Tamandua tetradactyla: one gene and its partner. The protein of the gene in region 2 purifies or fractionates together with the protein of the main gene of each other region. This does not show direct contact. Links are inferred from orthologs where the notes say so. Each region holds a gene or a part of one and is shown on either strand. Other genes may lie near its edges.

Evidence for each region.
Region 1: the proteins of SERTAD4 (region 2) and PPP2R2C purify together in Homo sapiens (affinity purification with mass spectrometry; 3 studies listed by BioGRID and IntAct, counting the BioPlex papers as one, with this or other methods). This does not show direct contact. The link is inferred for Tamandua tetradactyla from reciprocal best matches to the Homo sapiens genes SERTAD4 and PPP2R2C.

Annotation. Positions count from the first base shown.
Region 1 is NC_135345.1:6,446,610-6,453,960, reverse strand, and holds the start of PPP2R2C (protein phosphatase 2, regulatory subunit B, gamma), read right to left. Parts: upstream 3,134-7,351; 5' UTR 3,089-3,133; coding exon 3,019-3,088; exon of another isoform or gene 2,970-3,018; coding exon of another isoform or gene 2,942-2,969; intron 1-2,941. UniProt on the Homo sapiens protein: The B regulatory subunit might modulate substrate selectivity and catalytic activity, and might also direct the localization of the catalytic enzyme to a particular subcellular compartment.
Region 2 is NC_135330.1:68,422,493-68,430,740, reverse strand, and holds the start of SERTAD4 (SERTA domain-containing protein 4), read right to left. Parts: upstream 3,041-8,248; 5' UTR 2,988-3,040; intron 1-2,987.

The DNA of each region.
Region 1 (7,351 bases), on a different chromosome or scaffold from region 2:
AAATGACCCTTAGCATCCATAATTTGTTCTCAAAGCTCTTCTAGGAACAAGACTTAAATGATAAAGTGTATCCAATTCCTCCCACAGGCACTGTGGCTCTGCTGGGTGCTTTCTACATTAGCATAGTCCCTGGTCATCCCAACAACCCATTAAGAGAGATCACTATTACTTTTCCCTTTGCAAAAGGAAGAAACTTTTCCAAGGTTGCATAGCAGGTGAAGAGTCAGAAGCAGGATATCAACTCAAGTTCTGTCTGAAGTCCAGCTCTGTAATCTACTCTGTGCTCTGGGCATAAAATGCAGTCAGGGATGCAAGAGTGTTAAAGTCTGTTTTCACTTAAGGAAGCCAGAGTTTTCCTAAAATTCTAATAAGTATTATTAATTGCTTCCTCTACTAGACCCTGCCCTCCCTGAAGGCAGGAGTTCTGCCCCTGTCCCCTTGACTCTATACCTTATGCACACTGGTGCTCAGTCTGGGTGCAACTGCGTCCCCCACAAAGGCATGTTCAAGTCCCAACCCCTGTTCCTGGAGTGTGAACCCATTTGTGGGTAGGACTGGTGAAGATGCTAAGGTGAGCCCAGACTGAACAGGGGTGGGCCTTCCTCCAATGTGGCAGACGTCCTTGTAAGCAGGGGAAACTGGATATGGAAACAGAAGCCAAAGATGGAGAGAGGTCACCGCAGGATGGAAGCAGAAATGCATACACAAGCCAAGGAACCCCAAGAATGGTGGCGAGCCAGCATGAGAAAGCTACAGACGCCAGGAGGAAGTATGGCCTGGCAAGACCTCGATTTTGGACTTCTAGCCTCCAAAACAGAGCCAGTCAGTTTCTGCCATTGAAGCTACTCGAGAGTGTGGGATTTAAAGGAGCAGCCCTGGCACACTGAGACACTGAGGTTTTCCATCTAAAAATGTGGGGACAAGGGTACAGGAATGCTTGGGTGAGGCCCCAGCAGGAGTTAGCCACTCATCAGCAATCTGCAGTTCCGAGGCGGCTCCCTCACGCACCCTCTCACCTGGGAAGCTATCATTCGCTCCCATTTCACAGGCAAGAAACTGAGTACCAGTGAGAAGAGACACCCGCAAGGGCCCAGGGCTCCCTGCTAGAATATAGACTGCCTGCTCTCAGGGCTAGAACAGTGGCTTGCCACCACTGAAAAGGGATTAAAAGCCATTTCTTCTTTCTCCTATAGCTACACACTTGTCCTTGCTCTCTTCTGCCGAGCACTCGTGAAATTCTGAAATAAAATGGGGAATGGAGTAAGGGAAAAAATCAACCTTTGTAATGTCTACTAAGGGTCAGGCATGCTGCTTTTTACTTTTAATCATACACCTGGCCCTGTGCTGTCACCCCCAATGCACAGATGATAAAACGGAGGTGTCCCCGGGGAGGCGGGGCCAGGCCATGCTGGGGAACAGCTGAGCGGACCTGGCAAGTTCCCCTCTCCACCAAAGCCAGGCCGCTGGGCCCCCTGCCAGCGACCCAGAGGCCTCTTTAACCCTCTGCTGCCCACCAGGCTAGGAGCAGAGAAAGAACAACCCTGACACAGGCCCATCCTTGCTCAGCCTCACCCAGGCAGCAGACATAGGGTGGCGTTCAGCCTCCTGGGCAGCTGTGAGGGCCCCCGGTTGGGAGCAGCTCTCTCACCCAGCCCTGCAGCCCTGCCCCCTCCCCCACCACACACACACACACACACACACACACACACACACACACACGCACACGCCCATCAGCAAAGCATGACTCAGCGGTTCTCCTCAGGGAACTGGGGGCACACTCCACCCCCATCCAATGCTCCCCTGCCACCAGATCAGGAACAGGGGGGAGCCCACCTGCCGGGGCCCCGCGCTCTCCCGGCCCCACAGGGCTCCAGCCCCGGGACTCGGCCTCATTTCCGGCAGATCCAGGCATCCAGGCATCGGGCTGGCAGACGCAAACTGCCGCTGAGCCCCGCGAGCTCCCTGAGACAAGCACCCACGCACACCAACGCTGTGGGCTGCAGTGCTCAGGGCCCCTCAGTGAGCCCCTCCCCAGAGCCCTTCCCACATGGGCACCCACCAGGGGCACCCCTTGCCCAAAGCCCACCAACACTTCTGCAGCTCCTGGGAAGATGCCCACCGCCCGTGGACACGGAAGGCCTCGGGAATAATGAACCCGGCGCCCGCAGCCTCCCCACCCCCCACCCGGGGCTCACTCCGCAGCCCTCTGGCCGTGCACCGGAGGTGTCGCCGCTGTCCCCTAGGCAAGGCCCCTTGGAAGTTACTGACCTACAAAAAAGGGACGGTGACCCTCTGGATTCTTATGGCCGACTTGGGAGATTTCAAATGCAGGGCCCGTTTGGGGAGGCATGTCCCACTTTTCAGGGAAATCCTGACCGTTTCCGGCCAGCTCCTCCTGCCTCAGTATATAAATCACCAAGAATAAAAGACCAAACTCCAGCGGCCTCCTTCCCCCTCCCGCTAAGGGACCCCTGCCTCCAGAGGCCCAGGGAGGGGAGGAGGAGGGACAGCCAAGGACCCGGCAATTGGATTTTTTCTTCTGGGTCCCTCTTCGTCTCCAGGGAGTGGGCAGCCTAGAAAATTCTGCGGGTTTTGGGCAGGGCTGAAATGTCAAATTCAGGGTTTTAACCCATTACATTTCCCCCCCCCCCCCCCCGGATTCCTTCACCAGATTAGCCGAAGGGATGGCCTTTTCAGAAACGATGGCCGGGGCGGTTCAGGATGCCACCTGGCCACGGAGCGAAAAGCTGCCTCCCGCGGTGACTCCCGGAGGGCGGCGCGGAGGAGGGCATCGCCTCTCCGCCTGGCAGGGAAGGCGACCCCGCCTGGGCCCTGGCTGCTGACCCCCGGCTCCCTCCCTCCTGGGCCCGGGGCGCGTGGGGCGGGGTGGGGTGGGGTGGGGTGGGGTGGGGTGACACGACACACATCGCGCGGTCCAAACCTTCGGAGGGCATTCGGTGCGACGGCATCCCCACGCCGCGGCCGGCCGGAGGGGGTCTCAGACAACACGTACGTTACCTTCAGTCACATAGCTGTGGTCCCGCAGGAAGCTGTGGTTAATTTTCCGCGTGTCCGTGTCCTCGCCCATTGAAGGCCGTGCCCGGTGCCCTGGGCATGCCCCGCCGCCGCACACCGATGCAATCCGCAGAGGTCGCGCCGGGCGCGCGGGCCATGCCGCCGCAGCCTAGCAGGGGCGCGGGCCGCCGGGGCCCCGGGGGGCGGGCATCGCGGGCGTGGGGGGCGGCCGGGCGGGGGGCGGGGGCGCCGCGGTCAGGCGAGCGCGCGGCGGGCGGGCGGCGGCCGCGGGGTCGGGCGGGCCGGGGGCCGGGCGCGCATCCCGGCCGGCCCGTGCGCGCTGCGTCGTGCGCCCGGAGGCCGGGCTGCGGGGCGCCAGGCGGCGGCGGCGGCGGCGGCGGCGAGGGGACGCGCGCGGCGCTGCGCCGAGCGAGCCGGGGCCGAGCCGGGCTGCGCGGGCTGGGGCGGCCGCCGCCGCTGTCGCAGGCCCCTCCCTCGCGCCGCCCGCTCCTCCGCCCCCGCGCCCCGCGCCGCCGGCCCACGAGCGACCCCGCAGGTGGAACCTGCGCCAGGCCCAGGCGGCGGCTCGGGGCTCCGGCCCCGCGCGGGTGGGCACCTCGGGAGCCCGAGTGCGCCGCAGGGGAGGTTGGAAGGAAGCGGTCGGTTTGAGGGACGGGGAGCGGGTCAGCTCAGCTTTGAGGGTGCGTCTTGGTGCCCCGGTGCTCCGGGAATAGAAGAGGCGGCCGACGTTTGGGTGGATTGGGTTGTGGGGGGCCGCTGAAGAGCTGGGGCGGCGTACCTGGAGAATGGGTCACTGCGGAGGGGGTGGGAGGGCAGCGGTCCCGAGGCCGGCCCACAGCCCAAGTGGCCGGCAGGTAGAAGAGGGGGCGTGGGTCAGGTCCCTTCTAGCCCCCTCCCCCGCTCCAGGAGCGCAAAATGGGCCCCGTGAAGAAGCTGGGGCGTGGGGGCAGGGGGGCTGGAGGGTGTCAGCACAGTCCGGGACAAGCTGGGTGAGATGCTGGCTCCGTGATCACGCTTCTGCACCTAACGCACCCCTTTCCTTCCTGGTGAGCAGAAGTGGCAGGCACAGTGCCGCGTGCATGCCAAAAGCATGCAAAATGCTGTCCCCGCCCCCACGCCGTAGCGCCGTGCAGGAGCTGCCGGCCTGCCTCCCTTTAATCATGTGTCCCCCAACATCTTACACGGTGCCTAGCACATAGTAGGCCTTCAAGTATTTATTCCCTCTCTGGCGGAACCCCCAGTTCCCGGGAGCAAAGTCCCGGCCCTGTGACCCTGAGTGCTCTGCTCTGATCGCAGGGCCAGGGGGCTTCTAAATCAACCCTTGGGACCCAGTAGTCTGTCTTTGGAAAGGGACTGGGAGGCGAGGGAAGAAATGCAGTGGGTAGCCAGGGTGTCTGGTGCTTCCCCGAGATGGGGGTGGGGGTGGGGGTTCAAGCCGGCAGGAGGTGCAGTCGCTCCCACCCAATTTCCCCACTGGTTAAGCCCTCCGCTCCTTTCATCTGGTTTTGTGGGGACTCCAAGCAGCTCCCCAAATCAGCCGCAGTGAGGGCAGGAAGTTCAGAAAGGGCTGGTTAGAGGATGGGGGTTACGGGAAAGACTGGCCAGGGTGGGTGCCAGCTGTGGCGGAGGGCAGTGCCTCAGCTAGAGCTGGGCTTTCATCCAAAACAAATGCTCAGAATGGACCTGTGGGTGGTGGAGACCCCCCTCCCCCCCTCCACATAGGGAGTAAATGGACTAGACCAGGGGTGAGGTCCTGGAGGGAGCACCTCCTGGCTGAGTGACCTGGGCAAGTCCTCCAACCTGTCCCAGCACAGGTGTGCAAAGTCCATGCAAGGACCGGGTAAGGCTTCTGCCTGGGACAGCACCTGGCCTGGCACTGACGCAGCCAGCCCTCAGGTCACCTCCTACCTGACACAAAGGTGACTTTCACACTGGCTTCTTTCTCCCACCAGCCTGGGAGTGCCCAGAGGGCATAAGATCTGTTCTCCTCTCTCCGTAAGGCCTGGGCTCCTCAAATACCCGACACCTCGCTCCCTAAACCAACACCCCACTCTCCGCCTACACCCCTAGCACAACAAAACACCCAAAGCCATGGACACTGGAAGACAGATGGAGGGGGCCAAGGCATGGCCAGCCTTATCTGTGAAATGGACGCAGCCACTGGATGCGCCTCCCAGGGCTTCTGTGCTTCCCCCTCGTGCAGCTCCCATCCCTTCCTCACTGATTTTGGGGAGACCCCCACCCCCATGCCATCCTTCTGGTCTGTCAGGTCTGCTGAAAGCCCCAGACCACAATATAACAGCCCTGCCCTGGTCGTCAGCATCTCAGCCACTCTGGGCACCCCAAGTTGGGAGTTTCTAACCTCCCAGGGTCCACCAGACCCCACATCAGCCCCTGCCCCCCTGCAAGGTGGTCTCGTCTGCCGCCCTCGGGGGCTCGTCCTCCGTCTCCCGGGGCCCCTTGCCCTCATCCATCAGGGCCCAGGCCTCTGGGGCTCCTTCCACCTCTCCAGGATGCTGCCACCACCACCCCGATACCACCACTTGCACCAGCTGCCCCATCTGTGTCTGCACACCCCTTCCCCTGCCCCACCGCTCCTCACCCTGCCCCTACAGCCCCCTCCCTCCTCACCAGCTGCTCCCATTTATTCATTCATGACAAATGTTTGTTGAGTGCCCACTATGTGCAGGCAGGAGGCTTAGAGCAGGGAAAAGAACAGATAAAATCTCCAGCTCTCGTGGGGTTGACCTCATGGTAGAGCAATGCAGACAATTCCAAGTGAACATCCGATGGCCTGCCTGGTCCTTGCCCCCTCCCTTAGCTGACCTCCCACTGCAGCCACCCTGCTGGCCACCCCCACCACCTTCCCTGACCTCGGTGACACCACCTGCTGCTCTAACTCCTCTGCCTCCTTGGCTGCTTTGGAAGTTGCACGTCTTTCAATGGTCCCTGAAACGGGTCTCGGTGTTCTTCTCTTTTCCCCCCTGACTTGTTTTACCTGGAGTTACAGTACGTGTGCAGAGAAGTGCACAAAACGTAGAGTCAACTCAGCCAACTATCGTGGGGCAAACATTCATGTAACTGCCCCCAAGTCAGGAATGAGGACGTGGCCCGCCCCCTGGGGCCTCCTTCACTATCCCCTCTTGCCACCGTGGGTCCCTCCCCAGAGGCAACCACCACCTTGGCTTCTCACACTGGAGTTTTGCTTGTCTGAGAACTTTCTACAAATAGAATCATAAGGTTTGGCTGGCTTTGTATCTAGTTTCTTCTGCGCAACATGACGCTTCTGAGATTCACTCATGTTGTTCTACATATATAGCTGCAATTTGTTCATTTTTCACTGTTGTATAATATTCCATCATGGAAATTCACAATTTCTCTGTTCTACTATTGGACATTAAAAGTTTCAATTTAGAGACTATTATGAATAATGCTGCCATGTCTCAGCACATCATGCACACGCTCCTGTCAGGGAATTGTCACATTGCTGGAAGACTGGGTGTACATACAGCCTATGTATGTTCAGCTTTATGTATTAGTTAGGGTTCTCTAGAGAACAGAATCAACAGGAAGCACTTGCAAATATAAAATTTATAAAAGTGTCTCATGTAACCATGGGAACGCAGAGTCTAAAATCCACAGGGCAGGCTGTGAAGCTGACGATTCCGATCGAGGGTCTGGACAAACTCCATAGGAGAGGCTCGCCAGCCGAAGCAGGAAAAGAGCCTGTCTCTTCTGAATCCTCCTTAAAAGGCTTCCAGTGATTAGACTGAGCATCACCATTGCAGAAGACACTCCCCTTGGCTGAATATAAATGGAATCAGCTGTGGATGCAGCTGACATGATCATGATTTAATTCTATGAAATGTCCTCATCACAACAGACAGGCCAGCACTGGCCCAACCAGACAAACAGGTACCACCACCTGGCCAAGTTGACACATGAACCTGACCATCACACTTGAGTACCTGCCATTAAACAGCCTCCAAAGATGAAATGTAAGAGAGTCCCCGCCTCTGCACAGGCTCGTTAAAGAGTTTGTTGTTATTTCCTGCGAGTCTAGCCATTTGCCACACCCAGCCCTGCCTGCACTAGCTCTCATCTCCATTCCCATTTCTCAAGGCATAGGCTCCCCCTCAACTCCTCCCTCGGCGTCAACCACCAAGGCCCCAGGCCTCCACAGACAGAGCTCTCCAACCCTCCATTCCTTGTGCCAGCTGCCCTGCTAGAATCCAGGGCTTCACCCTCTGCCACGCGGACTGAAAGCCAACTGGGCCATATTCTCTAACCTGCTTAAAATGAGTTAAGACTCACA
Region 2 (8,248 bases):
AAGCAAGTGAATCAAGGTTTTTTTTATCAGATGAATTAGTCCTCTATTACCAACTGCAACAAAAATTTTCCAGTTTGCAATTTACACTCAGTTTTATGCTGGACTCTGGGAATAAGATTCAAGTTCTGCCTATGTAGAATTTTTATTACATATAATAAAAAACAGGTAGACAAGCCCATGTCTCTTAAGAAGGGAAAGCATTCGCAGTCACCTAGCAGCAATTACCTTTGCATAATAGGACATTATGTGGATGCTGTGCTCTTTTATATTGGAGTTTGTTTATATTTTACTGACTTATTGTTGAAGTTGTTTTGATTGTTAAGAATTTCAAAGTTTTTATTAGTATTGATTTCAGTATGCATCTGAATTTGATCTTTGGCATAGTCATTTTTTATTTTGGCTATTTTTTTCGTTACGATATTCCTAGTTCATGAAGTTTTTCTTTTGTGAAATGGAAACTTTTACACACAAAATTTTCAGTCAGAGAGGCTGAGTTCAGTAAGTGATTTTTGTAAGTCCGAATAAAACATGAATGAGTTGGGATTATTTGGGAGCAGGGAGGAGATTTTGCAATTGGGTCTTATTTAGGCTGCACACTGGGATGTTAACAAATTAAGGAGGCAAGTTTAACGTTCATGAAAAAGTGGAAGTGCAGCGCCAGGCGCCAATATTTCACATGACTATTTATAGAATATGTACAGATTCAAACTATCATTTTCCTCTCTATGAGATTTACACTATAATTCTGCTATTGGATTCAGAAGTTCATGTAAACAAATTCATGTGCTGTTAACATTAAATACAGCCACAAAGATTTACCTTTATCATGAAATGTGTGTGTTTTTAACATCAGAGGTGAGTGGATTCAAAAGGGGGTGTGTGTTAGAGTGTGACTTGTCTATACGTGAATTTTAAAAAGTAAGAAAAGTCCTAAACCTTTATCCTCAGGCTTCTACATGTCTGTTTCGTCAGCCAAGTGGCTATGGTGGAATGGCACATCAAGCATCTCCAGAAAGCTGAGGGCTAAAATGTCAAGCTTTTCCAACAGATGTTCCTAGTAAAGTTACCAGGCATTTCTACACAATTTGGTTTTTCCAGATGAGTTGGGCTTGTTCTTTCCTCGGAGCTATTATGATGCTAATAGGAGTGGCTGGCACACAGGATAGGCACAGATTCAGCGGCACCTCGAATATAACAAGGGGGCTCCTGTCATTCTCTGCCCCTCCCCTCCCCATCTATGATTGGAAATTAGGGGCCCTTTTATCAAGAGCAACTACAGCAGTCAGAAGTCTGATTCCAACACTTAAAAGCAGGGAAGTAAAGGGCTGCTATTTTCAATTCACCTCTGACATGGCCACTCTTCAATGTCCTTCCCAGGTGGAATCAAGCGCCTGACCTCACCTCTCTCCCTGACAAAATCTCTTGGCCGAGGCAGTGGTGGTGGAGAGGTCTGGACCGGCAGAACAAAATCCTTCAACGCTTCTACACAGACATGTCGTTTTTCTGCCAGTCCCTGCAGTGCACCTGTCTGCCCTGGGAAGCACATTTCTCAGCAGAAGGCCCGAGAGTCCAAGAGCTTTAGATTTGATCCTAGGGCTGGGAAAGTGGGCGCAGGGCTTGGGAGACGCAGGCGGGTGTCTGGATGTCTGAGCCCGAGCCGGCTTTCCCCAACCCCGACCAGAGAGGAGGGGCCGAGGTTTGGAGGAACGACCCGCTGCCCGCTCGGCTGCAGCCACCGCGTCCCGGCCTCCGCACAGCCACCTTCGGGGGTCGATGCCGCTGCCCGTGAGCCCCTCTCCGGGACAGCCAACAGTGACCGCCCGGCCGCAAGAGAAAGTAAACAACACCCCAAGTGGCTGGGAACAAAGGGCAAGTTGTCTTTCTGCGGTGCCGGTGCCGGAGCTGCGTGCCTCTGCTACGAAAGAATAAGAGCTATTATTATTCTTTCTTTCTTTCTCTGTGTTTTTTTTTTTTTTTTAAACCAAGTTTCCTTCTAAGGGAAATAAACACCAAAGGTAGGATTCCAAGGAAATGACTCACGGCGGTTGGCAGGGCTCTGGCGAGGCTGGCCCGGGCCCCGCGCTCCAGACCGCAGCAGATGCCTGCCGGGTCCTCCCTCCCTCGCGGGTCAGACCTACTCAGAGCCCGCGGCTGCGGGAGTTCCCTTCGCACCCGAGGACAGGAGCCGTGACAACACGGCCTACCGCCCCCGCCCGGGACCACTCGGTCCGCGCCACCCCGAGCCCCGGGGCCGCCTGTCCTCCAGTCTCTGCGGCACCAGTGGGCACCGGGGAAAGTTGCTAAGGCCGAGGAGGCGGGAGGGGAGGAAGGGGGGAGAGAGGCGGAGGCGTGGACCAGGAGGGCTGCAGCCTTAGCCCGCCAGGGAGGTGAGCTGAGGACAGAGGAGCCGCCGCCGCCCGCAGCGCGGCTCGGCTGCCTGGGAGGAGGGTGCGGGGGCGGAGGTGGCGGGGGACAGAAGGTGTCAGCTCCAGCAGCTATTCCTTTTTCTTGCAAACGCGCGCTCCTGACATCTACAATTTCTCTCCCTCCCCACCTGCCAAGCGTCGCGGCTTCCAGACCAGTCGTCCCTAGTACTGACCACGTCCCCTAGGGTGAGGGCAGAGGCGGCGGTCTGAGGTCCCAGCAGAGCCGCTGTCTCCACCCGCCCCTTGAGTCGACTACGTCCACACGGGCGGCAGCCCGAGCGGCTCTAGAGGCGGCGGCGGTTCCCGCCTGGGTAGAGGCGCCGCGGCGCACGCCCAGCCCTGGAAAAGCCCGCGCCGCCTCCTCCCCGGCCTCACACCGCCCCCGACCCTGCCGGGTGCCGGTCCACTAGGTGACCCCGGTGCGACACAGCGGCTGGAAGGGAGCGCGGGGAGCCGCGTGAGTGCCAGCCCGCGCCAGCAGACGCTCTGGAGAACCAGCCTCCGCCTTCCACCCTCCCTGGCCCTTCCGCCCTGGCGGCCGGCTCCCAGCCCGGCTCTTACCGCGGGGTCAGCGGGGAGGCGGCGGCCGCAGCGCCGGAGCTGCTGCTTATCCGCTCTGGGGTCGGCGCCAGCCGGGCCGCCAGTACACTCGCGCGGGTCCCGGCCCGGCGGCCCGATCGGCGGTGGCCGCTGGTGCGCGGTGGGCGAGGGTCCCGGTAGGTCCCGCCGCCGCGTCTGGGGCGCTGCGCCGCCGTCGCTGCAGACGGTTATGGTAATGAGCGGCTCTGTCTAGCGAGGAGCGTGTGAAACCCGTCAATCCTGTTTGCCATTTCCCCGTGGATTTCCGAGGAGAGGTTCTGCAGGATGCCCCCAGGGTGAGAGAGGGAACATGACAAGCGCGCCCGCTCCCGCTCGCTCCCTCCCTCTGCCGCCGCCGCCGCTCCTCAGGCAGCACACGGGGCGCCTTCCCCTCACCCCCACCCCAGCCCGCCCCCTGCCTCCTTCCCGCCCTCCCTCCTCCCTCCCCTCCCCTCCCCTCCCCTCGCGGTGCCCGGGGACACGCGGGCCCAGCTCCAGCCTGCAGCCCAGACCCCACGCACACCCGGGCTCCCGCCCTAGCCTTGGGGGCTCGGCTCCAGCCCAGAAACGTGTTCACTCTGCAACCTTCTGAGATGTCTTTTCTTATTATTTTCTAAAAATTGGTTTAGTTTTATTGTTGTTGTGAAGGGCATGTATGTGTGTGTGTGCGTGCGTGCGCGCGCGCGTGTGTGATATTAAAAAAAGAATCTGTGCCTTTCCCACCCTTTGCAATAGACTTTCTTCTCCTTTGCCACAGCAAGCGGAGATGAGAAACAGATGTCTTTGCAGGACCAAGCAGTTACTCTCCCCTCCGCGCCCGCCCCCGCCCGTTCCTCTCCTGAGCTACATATGTACAAAAAAGCAACCTTGGTCCTGCTGCAACTTGAATTGGTAACTCTCTCGGGGCGGGAGGGGGGCGGGGGAGAAGCTCTAGGGAAAACCTCCAGGAAATAAAAAGTAATAGAGGAAGCTGGCTTTGTCAACAGAAATGTTAATTTAAGCCCCAGAATCACATGATTTTGCAAATAGTTGTTTTTCCCTATATTGGGTTCAATTTGTTTGGTTGGTTTTTTTTAAACATTAATTCATAATTTCTGTCTAGGAATCCCCCCTCCCTAGTCAAGATTGGTCATTTCAGGTGTAATGAACACAGAGGCTTGGAAGGCATAAACCTAATAAAATCGGGGGAAGGCACCTGCACAAAAGTGTTACAAAGACTACAATGTTTGTTTACTGCTACCATGCCAGATGTGCTAAATATAACACTTCTTTAAAACAGTGATCCTCCGACTGTGAAAAACCGAACCTCTTGCTGCCCCTGGCACCCTAGGAATCAAGGAGATGCACAGACTGAGAATCAGGGAGGAAAGGAACAAGATCAAGGATGAGGATTAGCATCTGCAAATTGAACTCTATCTAATTTGCATGTTTATTTCTTAGAATTGTAATTAAATTTGTGTAATAAATGTTTTCCATTTCATTTGTACACTTAAAATTTGGGTGACTGACATGCAGTTAAGTGAATTTCTTTTTTTCTTAAAGCAAATGTAGTTGATTCAATAAAGCAGCAAACAAATACTAACCATAATTAGAACTAATCTGTTCTGAAGGTATTTTTGTTGAACTCTGTACATTAAAGACTTTCAGAGGTTTTAAGGGTATTAGGAAGCTGAGAGAAGGCAATTATGCTGAAAAGAGACTAACCCAATAGAATTTCAGGAGCATTATTTCATATTTTCCAAAAGACATTCCAGTGTTGCTTGTCTGAAATTGGGACTACAGCAACCATCTTGGCTTTATTCCGAGTCATGTTAAACTGCACTGGTTTATGCATGATGTAGGCCATTATGATGATAATTTAAGAATTGCAGTGATGCCATATTGTGCAATCAATAGAAGTTCCATGCCCAGGTTAAGGAAAGAATATAATTTACATATGATGGGGGAGGAGAGTAAGGAAGGGGATGAGAGCATTTAAAGCAGCACAAGTACTTAAAAATCTAAACCACTCTAGAACTGGTTAGCCTCTAACTCAAATAAAGAACTAAATGTGAGGGCTTGGAGGCATGGCTTATTATTGTTTTTATCTCCCTATATTAAACTTTTATGGCATTTAAAGGACTGTGGGGAAATCCCCACATAGTCTTGGCTGTGTTGAAATACATAAAACCAAAAGGAACAAATTAAGCATAAAATTGAGAAATAACATGAGACTAAGTATTAGCATGGGTTGCATTGGCATCTTTGGAGCTTTGACTCGGAGAAACAAGTCTTCTGGGAAATTGTCATTGCCCTTGGGTGGGAGGACTCTTGGCTTTAATGTTAAAGCAAAATGACATCACAAGTATCAAAACAGTTGTACTGCACAGCAACCTTGTGGATCTGAGTATGAACTTGCCCCTGTCTTGTTCAGATACATTAGGGTAGCATGTTTTTTTCTGACAGCTTTCCCTGCTCTACTTTTAACCTCAAAGCTTAATGTTTTCTGAAATTCAGTGCACAACTGTTGGCAACATGAACCTGTGTCGACAAGCACAAAGGGCAGTCAAATGTTCACTGAATGAGAAATATCATCTAAAAATTTAAAGTAAGCAGTGGCTATGGCACAAGAAAAAAAAATACCTGTGACTCAATGAAATATTTGGAACGAGAGAATGTAATTTATAGTGAGTTGCAATATTTAACCTGAGAACTATGATGTCATCATCTTGTGATGTGTGTGTGTGTGTGTGAAGTTCTGAGATAGGAGTTTGATTATAAAACTTAAAATAACTTGAGCTGCAAATTCACTGAAGGAGGGATTGTTTTTCTTCAGTTAACAAAGAGAGTGCCAGACATAAAACTGCTGAAACCCATTTCACAAAAACTTTATATCATTTGAAAGGGGGATTTCATGAGTAAAATTTTCCTTATTCAGGAAGGACATAATGGCCATTTGGATTAGTGAAAAATATGAATTACTGGCTTTTTTTTTCAAGTGCAGGATCTTAACAGTGAAAAGGATAATCTATACTGAATCTCTCCATTGCTCTCTTCTCACACCCTCTCCAATTATGCTTTCATCCCATCACACCACTGAAACTGCTATTGTCAGTGTCCACAATGACTGCCATGTTGTTAAATCCAAAGATCGTTTCTCAGTTCTCATCTTACGTGACCTATAAGCAGCATTCAACCCGGTTAACTACGTTTTCTTCCTTGAAATACTTCTTACTCTTTCTTCCAGAACAGTATACCCACTTGGTGTGCCTTCTCCCTAGTGGTTGTTCCTTCTAAGTCTGCTTTGCTGGTTCTTCCTCTTCTCTATGACCTCCGAGTTGGAGTGCTTCAAGATGAATCCTTAGACTTTGTCTCTTCTCTATAGCCAATCCCTTGCTGATTTCATAGCTTCAAATACTATCTATGGTCTGATGACATCTAAATTTCTGTCCCCAGCCCAGACTTCTCTCATAACCTCCATACTCCATTTGGATGTGTAACAGGTACTACAAACTTTACAGATCTAAAACTGAACTCCTGATTGTCCCTGCCTTCCTTGCAACCTGTGCCACCTTTAATGTTCTCCACCCCATCTCCACCTCATTTAATAAACCACATTGTTTTTCTGGTTGCTCTAACAAACAAATGAACAAACTTGGGCTCATCCTTGACTCTTTTTTCTTCATGCTTTACATCTAATTCATCAGAACATCCTCAAGTCTCTACCTTTACAATCATCATCTCTTGCTTGGGTCATTACAATAGCCATCTAACCGATTCCCTGCTTCTTCCTTTGGCCCCCTCTGCAGTTCAATCTCAGCTCAGTAGTCAGTGATACAACTTTGACTAAGAATCTCCTTAAGGTTCCTCATTCACTAAAAGTATAATGGCCTACAAAGTCTGCCTCCAGCCCCTCCAGTTCCCCTGGCCTCCTGGCTATTCTTCTAATAACTTCACTCTGACTTCTCTTAACTTTACTCTGCCTCCAGCCCCTCCAGCCCCTCTGGCCTTCTAGCTATTCTTCTAATATGCCAAACTTGTACTTACCTCAAGACATTTGCGTTTGTTATTCCCTGTGCTTAGAATGCTTTTCCCCAGTTAGCTGCACAGATCAGTGCCCTACCTCTTCCTGGCCTTTGCTTTAAGATTGCCTTCTTAACCAAGCCTGATCACTCTGTTTGAAATGCTAACACTTCACCTCTATTCTGCTTTATTTTTATCCAGAGAATTTATCACCTTGTAATAAGCTCTATAATTTATGTGTTTATTTTATTTATCACTTCTCCCCTTTTACTAGAAAGTAAGACCCATGAAGACAGGCATTTTTTTTGCCTTCTTATTCATGCCTGTTTTCTCAGCACCTACCAGTACTTAGAATACTGAAAGCACTTAATAAATATTTCTTGATTGATTGGACAGTTGACCGAGAGTTACTTTCACTTCTGTACGGAAGCTCAAACAAGGCTGAATTAGAGCTATAACAGTCTTTTGTATAGAATGGGCATGAAGTTTTTATCACCAACTCATTTATCTGTTCTAGAGTTATCTGGCCCTGTGCTCTTCTCTGCACTGCAGCATTCCAGGACCTGAAGACATCCTAAGATCCCCAGGCACCCCAGGCCTGTCTGAGAGTACCTGACACACTGTTTTATCAAGTGGTTGCTGGTGCTTTTGACCAACCCTCCTTTTTTACAACACAGATTTCCATTCCTTGCCAAAATGCTTGTCCAAAGCTAGAGTCTTAGACAAAATGACAAAGTATGTAAAGTTGCTCTCCAGAACCCTCGGATGTCATTTCTTGGCGAAAGTATCCTTTCAGGAGTCAGAAACTCCTCCAATGTCTTTCTCATCTTCCTTCAAACCTCACTCAAAAACACTTCCATAATTATGTGGATTTTAAACGCCACCATTGAGCTAGGTACTGCAAGTGTAGTAGAGGTAAATAAGACACTGTTCTTGGACTAATGGAGTTCTCAATATATTGAGTAGCATAAGACAAGCATAGAAAGAATGACATAATTCAGAGCATAGTAGATGCCAAGGGATTTCAATGGAGGGACAGATCTCATCTAACTGGGAGAATCAGATAGTGGAAGGTAAATGGGGGCCATGAGTGTTTGTTTTTAATTTGATAAACAATGAAGAAAATTAAAGGTTTTTGACCTGGAGAATGACACGCTCAAAACCAAGCTTTAGGAAAAGCATAGTGAAGTAGAGAGCGGAGGTATGCACTAGGTAGGGAGCTCTTTCAGTACTCGAGTAGA